2 linked regions of the Notamacropus eugenii genome follow. The protein of the gene in region 1 interacts with the protein of each later gene in a pairwise test. Links are inferred from orthologs where the notes say so. Each region holds a gene or a part of one and is shown on either strand. Other genes may lie near its edges.

Evidence for each region.
Region 2: the proteins of TAX1BP1 (region 1) and MAP1LC3C interact in binary tests that used the Homo sapiens proteins (3 or more experiments, as listed by UniProt). The link is inferred for Notamacropus eugenii from reciprocal best matches to the Homo sapiens genes TAX1BP1 and MAP1LC3C.

Annotation. Positions count from the first base shown.
Region 1 is NC_092874.1:18,740,699-18,747,874, forward strand, and holds the start of TAX1BP1 (tax1-binding protein 1), read left to right. Parts: upstream 1-4,167; 5' UTR 4,168-4,447; intron 4,448-7,176.
Region 2 is NC_092873.1:402,775,598-402,783,486, reverse strand, and holds the start of MAP1LC3C (microtubule-associated protein 1 light chain 3 gamma), read left to right. Parts: upstream 1-4,873; 5' UTR 4,874-5,036; coding exon 5,037-5,094; intron 5,095-5,203; coding exon 5,204-5,259; intron 5,260-5,471; coding exon 5,472-5,578; intron 5,579-7,889.

The sequences.
Region 1 (7,176 bases):
TATTTATATAAATATATAAAATATATATATCTTGAGGTAGAAAGATTTTTATATCTTCTTTACACATGAAAAAACTGAGGCTTAGAGACTTGTCCACATTCCTACCACTACAAAACAGTCAAATTGAGATTTGAACTCAGTTCTTTCCTGACTAACACTACCAGGCCCTCTATTATTCCATACCATCATCTCTAAAGTTACTGAAAAGCTTCTTTAATACTCTGATGGATGTGAGTACAACAAGGGTGAGTCCCAGGGCCAGTGGGGATGGCAGCTTATGCCTTCTTCCCTTTTTGTGTATTTTCTGAACTTGTACCCTGTAAGTCTTCACACAATCTACATGCCAGAGTCCTTGTTCTGGGTCTTTGGATCTTTCCTGGATTCTAGTGCAACCCAGGGCCTTGCATCTATTACCTCTTCATTCCTTTCCCCATACATGTCCTTTACTGAACATGTTTGTGAGGATGCTTTTACCCTATTTCCTGTATCCTGGCATAGGTTACAGGCTCCTGACACTACCAAGCACCTCTCCACTGACTCTTGGACCATCTACCATTTTGATTCTTTGAAGGTACCCCTTGGTTTGTTGCCATATGGTATTCCTAGAAGAATACTGGGGTTAAAAGATGGCACTAAGGGACTTTGTGATCCCAGAAAATTCTACACCACTTCCCAAATGCAAGCACTCAGCTTCCTATTTAGATCTGATCTCAAATCATCATGACTCATTTGCAACACTTGTCCAAAGTAAATATACTGCTGGACTAACTTGGTGGACTGAACATCACTAGCACGCCACAAGACAAATTTTCTGTTGCTCCTCTCCACGCCACATGTCTTCCCATTTTGTCTCGCCCCATGTTTGCCATCAGCATTTTCTTAGTTATGCCATCTTTGACTTAAGGTCTTGGCTTCTAATGTCCGATCTCCGCATCCAGTCAGTGTGACAAGGTTGAGGGGTGATGGGGACCCCAAAATATTGACAGTCTGGGTCGTGCTAGAATGAATTCGACTCAAGTCTTCTTAAAGCCAAAGAAAACAAAGTTTATTAAAGATTTGCCATCTTGGGTTGCCTCTTAAGGAGCCTAAGCACTTGTAACGCTTGCATTCACAAGCGGGCCGGACAGAATCCCAGCTAGACAGAGTCTGAGCTGGATTGCATCTGAGTGCCTTCATGGAGGTGAGATGGAACTAAACACAGAAAAGAGTATAGGAGGGATCTGGGGGGGGGGGGGGTGTCCAGGGTGATGGGAGGAGGGGTTTAGGAAGGGCCTTGAGGAGAAGTTCAAGGAGGGAATCCAAGGAGGGTCAAAGGCTGGAAACAGCTGGAGGCTATCAGGAGATATCAGACTAGGGGGCGCCTAGGTGGGAAGCAGGTGGGACAATCAAGAGGTAACAGACAATGGCCGCAGATTTGAGTACGAAAAGCCAGGTTAAGTGAGGAGATACTAGGAGAGCTCAATCTGAGTATGAAAAGCCAGGTTAAGTGAGGAGATTCCAGGGGAGTTCAAGGAAGTTCTCAGAGTCTGAACCCCATCAATTGCCCTCACTGTGGTTCAGGCCTCTATTTCCACAGCCTCCAGTTTCATTATGCCAGCCACACGGAATGCAAAGACAAAATATTTTCTCTGCCTCCAATTTCCCTTTCTTATTCAATCTTTCTTCATGCTACTTTCCTGTTCAAAAAACCTCATTGGCTCTATATCCCGCCTTGGTCTGATACTCAAGGCTTTCTGTAAGCTAGGCATAACTTTCTTTTTTCTAAATTTATCTTTCGCTCCTCCCACAATTGTATCCCCCCTTCCTCTCAGAAGATCAGAACTGACTGGACTCTGAATAGGTTTGAATGCCCTTCCTACCCAAGTAGTTCAAGGTCCCCTTCTCAATCTCATTTTACCCCAAATGTTCACAAAGACTATTTGTGCCTGACCTGCGGCAGAACATTCTGAGCTCATGTTGGTCTGATCAGCTACAGTTGGACACATTGTAACTTGACTCTAGCATAGTGATGTCATTTTGATCCTCTTTGGACAACAAGTATCTTTCCATAAGTCCCTAGTACAAACTGTTGCTTGGTTTTCAAGGTCTTGAATAACATGGTTCGCCCCTATTTCTAACCTTATTTTATATTAATCCCTAACTTGTATTTAGGTTATTATTCTCAATGTCTCCAGAAAATGCCAAGTTCATTCCCATTTTGAAAAGTATAAGGAAGGCTTTCCTTCCTATTGTATCTCTGGCTTAGAATCATTCCTTCTGCCTTGCTCTCTAGCCATTGAAATCCCACGTGATCTTCAAGATCTGTTTTGGTGTCTGATCTCCCATGAAGTCATGACAATAATCTCTCCTCTCTTCTCTCACAGCAGAGTTGTGTGCTACAAAACCTTAAGCTTAGTGGTATGCTGCCTGTTTGGTAATGATTGTTTTATGTGTGTTAGGCAGAGACCGTATCTGGTATTTCTGCATCCTTTGCAGCTCCTGACTCCTGAGCAGAGGAGAGATGGGTTATTTCCATCTGCTCACACAGTGGAGTTCAACCTTCCAGGATCACTTAATCAAGCACTTACTATTCCTCTTCTACTAAGCCTCCCTCCCCCATTCTGTTCTGTAGTGGCGACTCCTTTCTCCAGACTCCCAAGATATCTACTATACTAAAAGGCAGTATGGTAATGGTGGCATTTCGGTGGACTTGGCCTCAGCAGCCTAAATCTTGTTTCTGATACTTGTAGCTGTGTGGTCATGGGCAGGTAACTTCCAGGTTTCCCATCTGCAAAATAGGAATATTCAATAATATCAGGGCCATCATGAAAAGCAAATGAAATGAAAAATACAAAGCTTTGATAACTTTTTCTTGGTAGTTAACATTTTATGCACAGATGTCATGTCCACATTATTACTGGACTTGAGCTCACAGATTGCCGGATGTGGTATTTCTTTTTAAATTCTTTCTAGTATCTTGCATCACACTGAACACTCAGTATATCTTGCTGACTGATACTACCATAAACCTTCTAGGTGCTTGGTCAAGGCGGGCATCATTAAAATGGAATGTATTAGCATATGTGGGGTTGGCTGAACCCCTGGATTTCTTTTAGATAAGAATGGAAGCTAATTGCCCTAATTGTTGACTGTGCTAAAAAATGCAAAGCAAGAAAAACTCCAGGAAAAACCCTGGGGCTGATGTCACTAGATCTAAAGTTTCTTCACTTTCTAAAAGGTCAAGATCTTCAGATGGAGATTAAACCATCCCCAGCAAAGTGCTTACTAATGTCAGTTTCTATTTCTAGTTACAGTTATCACTATACTAGTTACAGTAACCACTATACGTGTAGTATCTCTATGGATGTAAGTACTAAGCTGCCTTTATCCTCATATACGTATTTGTGTACGTGTATGTCATTTGCACACGTGTCTGTAGACACACAGAAACCACTGGAGGGAGAGGCAGGAAGGCTTACTGGACCAGTAAGCAAGGGGTGCCCACGACAGTGGCTTTCTGTACAAATGAAGTTTGACTGATGTCCTGTAGACGAGGGTTGGATCCGAGCCGTGGGGGCCCGAAGCTTTTGGAGGCACCCAAGACAACGGCACGGATGGCAGACGGCCGCCCGGCCATGCGGGTCAGGCAGGATTCGAACCCAGGTCCTCGGGCTCCCATTATTTATTTAGTGGTTACTACGCGACTCCACCGTCCGCCAGCTCCGTGCTGGGCATCAGAGAGGACAGAGACCTCGGCAAAGTTCCTCCCCGGTTGGGGCTGACCCTCCGCTGGGGAAGGGGATGTCGCAGGCGGGAGGGGAGGAGACAGTCCTTCCCCTTCATCCGCGAGCCCCAGAAGCCCTGGGTTCAGATCGTGCCTCGAAGCTGTAGCAGTGTGGGCCTCAATTCCCTGATCTGTGAAATGGGGGCGATAACAGCCCCCCCAACTCCCCCTCCCGGGCCTGTTATGAGACGTGCTCTGCAAACCTGACTGCGCTGTGACGCAAGCCAGGCAGCCCTGCCTGCCCTCGGGGAGGCAGGATTCGAACCCAGACACGGAGACTCGGGTACTGACATGTCCCTCTCCGTCCCGGGCTCCGAATGGGAAGGCGCAGGGGGCGGGACTCCAGCCCCTGGCCGAGGGGAGTGGCGGGTTCAAGCCCGGGGTCGTCGCGCCTGCGCAGACCTGGCGCCCCGCCCCCGGCGCGCCCCTTCCTGCCCCGGAACGAGGCTGCACGCACGCGGCGGAAGCGAGCCTCCCGGAAGGACGGAAGTGACGCTCACGGCCGCGATTGGCTCGCCCCTCCCTCCGTCCCTCCTTTCCCCGCTCCTCCTCCTCGGTCCGTAGGTCCGGCCGTTCGTCCGCCTGTTTGTGGCGGAAGGCGCCCGGTGGCTGATGGCCATTCTGAGCGGGAGGCCCTGGTGACGCTGCCCAGCCTTCGCAGAGGCCTCTCCGGGCCAGCCTGGGGTAAGAAGCCGGGGCTGGCGGGCGGAGGCCGGGCGGGATTGTGACGTGCCCGCAGGGACTCGGGCCCAGGGGGCAGGGGGGCGGGCGCTCTCTGCCTCAGTTTCCCCTTCGTGAAGTGAGAGCTTCCCAGAAGAGGAGACGCCGGGACTAGAATCTCGGTAGCCTCCACGCGTATACTCTAAGCGCCCAATGAGTGCTGGTCGGTTGGCCCACTCGGGCCCGGAGGCAGAACCAGGGGCGGCACCGTAAAGAAGGAGGAGCTGGGCCCTGGAGCTGAGGGGGGGCGGGCGGGGAGCGGCCCAGGTCCTCGGGGTGTCGGGAGGGGGAGGGGAGCGCGGGGCGCTCGGGAGCCCGTGTTTGTGTATGGGGCGGGGAGGGGCGGGGCCTGCGGGCGGGGAGGGATCCCGCGTACTTCCGGGATGGGCCAGTGCCGTTCTGCCTCCCCCAGGCAGTGCGCGGGCTGGGGGGTTCAGTGCCCTTTGACCTCACCGGACAGCGGAGGTGTTGGGCAGAGCCTGACCCCGCGCGTCCGACTTGGGGCCGGAGACCAAGTGGAGTCGGAACTTGGGCTTTTGAGAAACGTCCGGGAAGTTAAGGGGGGCTGCGAGAGCCTGGGGCGGGGGGCGGCCCTCGGAGCGGCGATCTTAAGGGCTTGATGCCAGCCAGGCGCGGGGGGGAGGTTACGGAAGGCCCCGTAAAAGTGCGCTTTCCCCTTCCTGCAGCCGAATTACTGGACCAAGCGCGCCCCGGGTCCCTCTCAGCTGACGCAGACGGTAGCCTCCGGGCTGACCCTGGGCTGGGCAGCCCTCTGGGAGGGTGACGTGTTCGAAGTATCTCTAAAACAGTGAAGGAGGGTGCTGCTCTGAAGGGCTCTTCAGGTGTTTAGGTGGCCTCTGTCTGAAGGGTTTTATGCGGGAGGGAGCGGACTAATTCAGGTGTCTGTAGGTGGAATATGCAATGAAAATGCAGTGGGAGGCTGTCCGTAGTTTTAAAAATGGATAGAGGTCCACTGGCCCTGGAGTCCGGAGGACCTGAGTTCAAGTCGGGTCTCAGATATTTGACCCTGTGTGACCCCCTGGGCAAGTCACTTACCTCCATTACCTCCAAAAAAATGGATAGAGATGTAGCCTATTTCTCTACTTTCTCTGAAAGTGGTAACATTTAGTGTGCCGGCTCATTTATTGGCTGGATTCTCAGAGGCAGGAAGATCTGGGTTCAACTCCTGCCTCAGACGAGGACTGGCCCTTCTCTGACACCAGAAGTCGAAGAAGACGCTGACCTGCTTTAGGAGAGGGAGTCGAAGTTCTTTATTTCAATAATAAAATCACAATCCATCCTCCTTGGTGTCATCCTTATTTAGAGCTGATAAATTACATAAGGTGATTGGAAAGAAGCTTATGACCGCTGACATCATTTACGGATCTTTTCCTAAGGATTGCCCCTGCTGCATTCAGTTCGTTAAAGTGGAATGGGTAGTGCCGTGGAGCTTGTAACCGTCAGCCGGCCTCAGACATTGCTGGCTGTGCTCGTCTGACCAAGGCTCTAACCAGGCTCTCAGCTGCACTTTTTTCCTTTGTAAAATAATAGCACTGACCGTAACAGGTTCTTGTGAAGGTCGAATGAGATCATATGTGTGGTATATAGAAAGATTGGTTATTGTTAACATTCTGGAAGGAAATGTGATAACCAACAATCCTTTGTCTGAATGGGACCGTAAAATCTGCCTAGAGAAGTGTAGGGAATCATACTTACCGAGCTCCCACTGTGTTCACATAGGGAGCTGTATATAGGACTCTATACAGAAATGTACAATGCAATTATTGCCTTTAGAATTTAGAATAAATTAGAATTAAGATTAAGAATTTAGTTCAAAGACTTCCTGATGTAGAGTTCCTAGGTGACCTGTAAGGATCCCAAGAAATTGGGTTTGGCAGGCTGAGGACTTAACTGGAGATTTTGGATAGGCAACATGAAATGTTTAAATGGACTATTGTGTGATTGTGATTGTGTGTAACTCCTGGTTTTGACTCCTCAGTTTTCACTCATTTTAAATTGGTCTCCCATTCCTGGACCCTTGGTAGCAGAAAGTGAGATTGAAGCCTGAAGTCGCCGTTGTGGCTCCTATTTGCCCTTCCTTCTGTGGAGGGTGGTGAATGGGAAGGGCTTCTCTCTCTGCCAGTGCGGCAGGGCTGTGTTTCCTCTGGGAATGGTGCTGTTTCCAAACAAAGTGAAGGCGGTGGGAGACTCCATCAGGTTCTGGGGGAAGAAAAGGAGAAAGCGAGGGCATTTGAGGCAGTTGCAGACTCCTGGAAGCCATTTACACATGTAGAGGACAGGAGGGACCAGGTGAAAGCAAGGTTAGCAGAATTTGGAGGGAACTGATAGGGATTCTTTATTCCATTCCATGAGCCAGAGTCATCTAGCTGTTAATTTGTGATGGTTTGAAGATGGGAAATTTGTTAAAATAGAAGGAAAGGGAAGAAAATCATGACCTATCCCTGCTTTAATCAGCTCCAGTTTCATCCTATGATATGTATTGCAAGTTACTTGTATTGCCATTTAGAGAATAATTCTATTAGTTCTGTGAATATTTGACAATATTCCAACGGGAAACCCCCCTCCAGTGTAGTCATGGAAACATTTTTGTTTTGAATTTTATTTTTTATAATGTTGACATGTGAGAATTCAGACAAGCACAATGACCATGACACAGCACTCCTCGGTGTTGG
Region 2 (7,889 bases), on another chromosome or scaffold:
TCCACCTGTTCCAAGAAGACTTTCCTATGTCTCCCAGATGCTGATTCCTTCCTCCATCAAAGTTCCTTTCGTTTTTAAAATTTTCTTGTATCCACATAGTTGTTCATAAGTTATCACCCCCATTAGAATATAAACTTCCTGACAATAAGGACCATCTTTTTGCCTTTTTTTGTACTACCCACCACTTATAACAATGTCTGGCACATAGTAAGCTTGCAATAAATGCATTTTGACTCAAGTAATTTTATGTATTTTATACATGCCAGTTTTTATATTTGATTTCATAAAACCAGTGACTGTGTCTGTGTGAACACTGAGGCATCCATGTAGTCAAGGAGGAAGGCATACTAACTAGCTGAGCACTGGAGTACACTAAACTTTGATACAATGACCACAAGAAAAAATTCAGGTAACCCCTACAAGGAGTCTTGTGTTGAAGTACATGAATCTTTTGCTATTGCTGCTCCTGTAGGAACCAATTTAAGTATTTATAGCGGCTAGTTGAGCAGACTTTAAGCTTCCATAACCATTAATCAGTGGTTGATTTTAAAATGGAAACCAGAATTGGCTCCAGCTACAATTTGACACTAGAGAAATAGCTTCTGTATTTCATTAAATTAATTGGTCTGAAATTTTGCTGGCAAGTGGTATAACATAATAGGAACAGCAATAATAGGCATTTACACAGTGATTTAAATTTACAGACCCCTTTATATATCTTCTCTGCTCCAGTTCTCACTACATCCCAGTGAGGTAGGTCACTTAAGGGATTATTAACCCAGTTTTAGAGAATGGATAACTAAGACTCAGATGAAGGTATTTATTCATGGTAACATAGCTAGTGTCAGAGGTGGGATTTAAATCCCGGTCTCTAATGACCAAAAAACCCATTACTCTTTCCAGATATACCTAGAGTTAAACCCAGGAAGGAAAAAAAATAATTCATTTTTTCTGTAAAATTTAAAATTCTCCTTAATCATATCAATATTAGTATGATTAGACCATGTCTTATCTGAGTCTAGTTATTTATGCCCTATCAGCTATAGCAGGAGACTTGCACTAACATCATACCATTCCACACTGGCCTCTCCATAAAGTCAGGATTAAAGCCCTTGGAAAGATTCCTGAAGTAAAAAGGGAGGGTTCTGGGACAGATAACCCAGCCCAGTCTTGGAGTCCTTTCACTACGAAATTCTGGACATCCTTTTCTGGCTTCTTTTTCTTATCTTTTCTTTTTCTAATATCCCTCAACATCTGCTTTGTACAGACAGTTCCATTAGGTCCTTGATTCCTAACCAAGGTGAACTTGTGTCCATGACAAGAAGGAGCAGCTGTTTGCCAAGGCCCTGAGGGATCTTTGACTAATCAAGAAATGTTAAGCACATATCCCAAGGAGGTCAGAGGCAGAAAGATAGGTTCCATATACACCAAAATACTGGTTGTAGTACTTTTTGTGGCAAGAACTAGAACAAAAGTACTACACAAATTGTAGGAAATGACTGCAACAAAAAAATGATTCTGGGAGAAATGTGTATGAAGACTACAGATGAGTATAGGAAAACTTACATGAACTGATTCAAAGTGAAGCAAGAAGGACCAGGAAAAACAATATATACAGTAACAATAATAAAATAAATAACACCACCACCTCCGTTCAAAACTGTATGCTTTTGGCTAAGCCTGAACACAAAGAAGAGATATGAGAAAACAGTATCCTCCTTTTTCTGAAGAGGTGGAAGATTATGAAGGTGAAAAAAAAAGTCCTAATCTTCAGAAAAGTGAAGAAAATGGAGTCTGTAAACCATGACCAGTAAGCTGGGTTTGTATTCCTGGAAAAATTCTAGGAAAAAGATTAAATGAATGATTAGTGGACATTTATAAAATGTAGCAGTGATCACAAAGAGCCAACCTGGCTTCATTGAGAACAAATCATGCTATGTTTGCTCATAAGACTAGATATGTTGGTAAGAGTGTTGATATGTCATGAGAATGGTTCAATTGCTTGTAATCAAATAATGTTGAACATGCATTTAAAAAACAAGTTATGGAAGACTTCGCTCTTTTTCTCCATGACAGATATACTAGACTGGTCTGATCAGAGGAATAGTGTAGGTTTTTTTTTTTTTGACTTGTATTTTTAGCAGAGTATTTTGGCTATTCTTGTGGACAATATGTAGAGAAGTAAGACACATGGTAGCATAGTTAGGTAGATTTAGATGTGGTTGAATGGATGTACCTAATGTGTCATTATTAATGAATCACTATATTTTAGAAAGAACATTGTAAGTTAGAAAGAATCCAAAGGAGAGCAGTCTATACAATGAAGGACTTTGATCTCTTGCCATATGAGAACTGATTAAAGAAAATGGGGATATTTAGCCTGGAAAAGAAGAAGATATGATACTAGAAGGAAGAGGAATTCAGTTTGTTCAGATTGGCCCCTGAGAGTAGAACTAGGAGCAATGAGAAATTGTGTAAGCAAATTTAGTCTTTATGTAAACAAAGTTGCCTACTAATTAGAGAAATGCAAAAGTGGAACGAGCTGTTTTGAGAAGTAGCCTTGCTCCACTGGAAGCACAGAAATACCAATCCACAGATACTTGCTGAGCATCTAATGCCTATTAAATTCATGACACCATGCTAGACCTCATAGGAGAATACAGAGCACTATTATTTCTTACTTTAAAAAATATATTTATTAGTAAATTTGCTTCACCATATCATCAAACCCTCAACAATCATCCTATGATCTATAACCCCAGAAAAACTGTACCTCAGAAATCAAAAGCATCATCAATATCTTATTGAACATACATCATCCTTTAACAAACTGGAAAAAAAAAAGACTAAAGTACATGTCATGTATCAGTCCGATCATTCTTTTATGTCATTTTACTTAACTGTTTCCTACTCTAAACAAACTTCTAGTTGGGGAAATAAAATACATATTCAGAAAGTTTCCTTATAAGGCAAGTGCCATTGGAGTTCAGAAGAAAGAGAAATTATTGTATAGTCAGGAGTAATCAGGAAAGGCTTTGTGGAATAATGGGATTTCAAGAACTTGGAAGATATTTAAGATTTAAACAGATGAAGAAAAAAAGATGTTCAAGGTGAAGGACAGGAGTCAAAAATAAAAACACAAAGATGGAAAAGTAACTCTTCCAAAGTTCCTTACCACAATAAAAGCAGAGCCACCCGTTATGGTCTATAAAGAAAGACAAAAGGTTGACAGTATGAAGTCCTGGGTTCTTGTCCCAATAAATGCATCCCATTCAATTTAACAAGCATGAAACACCTACTATTTGTAGAGCTGGGGCAGGTGGGTGGACAGTGAGATGGACCTGGAGTCAGACCTAAGTTCAAATATGAACTCAGAGACTTATTAGCTGTGTGACACTGGACAAGTAACTTAACCTTTTGTCTCAGTTTCCTCATTTGTAAAATAAGCTGGAGAAGGAAATGTCTAATCACTCCAGTATCTGCCAAGAAAACCCCAAATATGGTCACAAAGAAGGACATGGCTGAAATGACTGAACAACAAATTTGTAGGGCACTGAGTTAGTAACTTATGATGCAAAGATGAATCAGACATGATTTCTTCTCTCAGGATGGTTGTAGTCTAATAGGAGAGAAGGGATATGTATACAAATATCTCTAATACTTCCTACTAACATTACAAATATAGATATGGATAAGTACATAGGAAGGATTCAAAGATTGCATAAAAGAGTAAAGCAAGAGAGGTATCCCTTTCACCTACAGAGAATAAGGAAACGCTTTAGGGGGACCCAGGCCAGAATTATACCTTTATGGTTGAAAATGATTTCAACAGGTAGAGTTAAAAAGAATTAACTAAAAGCACAAGGGATGCTATAAGAAAAGAGATAGGAAAGGACTGGATCTAGTAAGGGAGTGACAAGTGGGTCAGTTTGGCTAAAGGATAAAGTTAATTACAAGGAGAAATCTAACATGAGACTGGTAAGGTAGGTTAGAGTACAGTGTGAACCTCTAAGGAGTTTAGACTTTATGTTAAAAAGCAGTAGAGAGTCATTAAAGATTTTTTGAGTACGGAGTAACATGATTTGAAGAAGACTTTGACAATGGGATATTTATATGTTTTTATAACATAATTAAGGTAACAACTGTATATTTAAAGCAAGGGGAAAAACTAAGGCAGAAGGATCAGTTAGGAGGTTATTGAAATATTCCCACCAGTAAAGTAACAAAGAATGCAACTGGGCTGGTAACACTGTGAAGGATAAGATTAAGAGAGATGCAAAAGACCTGGAGTAGGAAATGACCACTGATGAGATGCAGGTGTTGAAGAGAGAGGAGTCAAAGGTGGTTTTTGAGTTTGAAACCTGAGAGACGAGTAAAAGGTACTACTAACTAACTCAGCTTCTTCGTCTATAAAATAGGGAATCTTGGGAATAATGTTTGTCTTCCATCTCTTATGACATCTATCCCTCAGTAGGATTCTATGAGGGGGAAATGATATGCTAAAGTCAAGAACAAATTCAAAATAGAACTTTGCTGTAACACTTGATTCTAGGTCAGAATTCAGTATAATGCAGATCAATCTTGGACTCCCCCCAAGAGGACATAGTTACGGAAATACCCAAAGAGCTTTAGTATGAGGAATTTTCACCTCTGAAGAATTTCATGGAATAGGCTAGGTAGGAAGATAGTGGTATAAGGATGCCTTCATTCCTTTAGCCGTAAAGGGGAAAATGTTCTCTGATAATGAGCAAAGCAACTTTGGACTTGCTCTGACTAACAAAACAGACCCACTTTTCCATTCCCATCTGTGAGGCTGACCTCTACTTCACAGGCTGTGGGTTTGGGTTGTGAGGGGTGGGGGGGAAAAGGGGAGGGGGAAAACATGATGTCACACCCAGGACTATATAAGGTACTTCATTAGGCTCTTGCAGACAGTTTGAAAGCAGCTGGAGAAAAAGAAATAGCACAGCCCTTCATTACTGGGGAATTTAAAAATTTACATTAAGTCAATCCTCACAGAAAACCTGTTGAATAAAATGCAACCTCAGCAGAAAAGTCAATCCATTCGACCTTTCAAGCAACGGAAAAGCTTAGGTACAACTAAGGGGGATCCTCCTAGGAGAGGAGAGGTGGGGAACGAGGGGAAAGGATGGATACAGACCTCATTTCATTTGTTTGATTAACTCTTCGTGTGCCATTACAGCAATCAGAAAAGAGGAAGTTGCTGGGATCCGGGAAAAGTTCCCAAGCAAGATACCGGTAAGGAGGTCCCTGTGGTAGAAGGTGGGTGGGATAATGGTACTGTCTTGAGCCGTGATCAATAAAGTATTGGAACAACCACAGGGCCCCGTGATACACTCTCCCACTAACTCCCACCTGGACTCAGTGATTCCAGGCAAGCGATCTTGTTCAGTTCCACTCAGAAGGGAGCAATTGGCTTTGCTTCAATTTATGTTTAAACGTTTTAACAGGTGATAGTTGAACGTTATCAGAAGGAGAAATACCTTCCCCCGCTGGACAAAACCAAATTCCTCGTTCCCCAGGAGCTGACCATGACTCAGTTTCTAACTATCATTAGGTAGGTGGCAAAACTAGAGACACCGTTCTGTAGGTACGGGAGGGGTGGGAGGAGTCAGGGAGAAGAGCTTCTCTTGGACTAGCTCTGGGAGGGGGAGTCTGTCTGTGATTCACCCTTTCTCTTCAGGGTGGCCAGGAAATGTTGAACTGGTGCTTAACCTCTTGGAGTATCCTAGCTTGGAGAGCCCCAGCCTGATAGAGCTAAAGTGAGCATTACTTGAGTTATCCTAAAGTCACAGGTGCTTTTTTTTTTAATCACCTGAGAAGCCTTTTATTCCCTCCTTTTGGAATTTATTCCAGAATTTAAAAAGAAGCTATCCAGAGCTTAGTGCAAAAAAGCCTAGTTTCAAGTCACTCTGACTTTATGAATTAAAAATTCATGACTACTCACTGTGTACTCTGTCTCCCTCTGTGTCTTTGTACATATCTCTGTATGTCGCTGTGTCTTTTTGTTTCTATGTGTTTTCTCTGTATATGTCTTTGTGTGTCTCTGTTGACATGTGTCTGTGTCTCTGTACATGTCTCTGTGCCTTTCTGTGATTTAGTATGACTGTCCTTTTCTTTGTCTCTGTGTCTCAAAAAAAAACAAAAACAAAAACAAATCCAGAGCAGCTTGGAGTAGGAGTACCTGCTACCTCCACTATCTTCCCTCTTACGTCCTCCACCAGCAAAATAGGATAGAATTGAAGGAACAGGACAGAAAATTGCCTTCTGGAAACCAAACATAAAGAGGTAGAATTGGAGCATTGGATCATAGAGCTCTAGCTGGAATGGAGCTAGTAAGCCATCTAGTTCAATCCCCACATTTTACCGATGAGGAAACTGAAGTTCAAAGAGGCTAGCTGGCTTGTCTGAAACCATACCCAGAGTGAGCATCAGAGTTAGGGGTTGAAAACAGCTCCTCAGACTTGAGAGACAGTGCCTGTTCCAATGACCCAAGCTGCCTTGCCTATCCATCAATCAGGCAACATTTATGAAGCACCTACTGTGTATCAGGCACTGTGCTAAGCACATCATCACCTAACATATGGATTCAATAAAAAGTATTTGGAGCTAAAAATAGATGTCTAAGAGCTAAGTAACTATGATTTACTGTATAATTCTCCACCAAAACAAAAAAAAAAAAGGAAGCTAGGGACTTTCCTTGGGGAGTTTTGTAACTTAAATAAGCTGTTTCTCCCTACATCTCATTTGGTGATCATTGCTTAAGCATCTATTATGTTGGAGGCACTCAACCAAGCAGCTGGTGCTACAAGGATGATTCCATGATAGCCTGGGCCAAAAAGTTTACCAAGGAGTAACAGGACCATGTGTACACACATAAGTGTAATGTAAGGCAGAATGTGACAGTAATTTCTTCTACAGTTATCTTCCTTGTACTTTGTAGATTGAAATGCTTACATGAATCAAAGATGGTTAAATTCATAACAAGACATTTTTATGTGAATATACCATAAACGAGTTCAAGAAAATTAAGAAGAGAAGAACATTCCTACCTTTATTTTTGGAAGGTAGAAATCTTATTGACAAGACTTTTTTTTCCTTAGTATAGTCCTCCATACTGTATTTTTCTCTATTCTTGTCATGGAAGTTACTGTGCTGAAACCATCCCTATGTTAATTGGGAGGAAACAGAAGGTGAACAATTAGACTTTTTTTTTTTTTTTAACACTAGGTCTCCCTGTCTCACCCAGACAGTAAGTGCAGTGGCCAGTGATGAACTGACCTGCTGTTAATTGGTACTGAAATTTTGACTTGCCATGTTTTTTCCACCTAGGTGGGTCACTATTCTTTAGTCAGCCTGTTGGCCCTTCGTTCTAGATAAGAATACTGGACCTGGAGTCAGGAAAGCCTCAATTCAATCCTGCCTCAGACACTTACCAGCTGTGTGAACCTGGGTAAATCACTTCACCTCTCTGTAACTCAGTTTCCTCATTTGTAAAATGGGGATGATAATAACACCTACCTCCCAGGGTGGTTGTGAGGATCAAATGAGATAATATTTGTAAAGTGCTTTGCAAACCTCGAAGTGTTATAAAAATGCTAGCTATTATTACGGTTATTGTTATCTTTGCCCTGTACTTGGTATGGACACCCATTGGACTTTAAAGGCAGCCAGGTGGTACAGTGGATAGAGTGCTGGGCATAAAGTCAGGAAACCCTGAGTTCAAATCCAGTCTCAGACACTGAGGAGGTGAGATTTTGGGATAGTTACCTAACTTCTATTTGCCTGTGTTTCCTCAAATGTAAAATGGGTCACAGGGTTGCTGTGAAGATCAAATGAGATGTTTTTAAAGAAGGTGGCACAGAGCC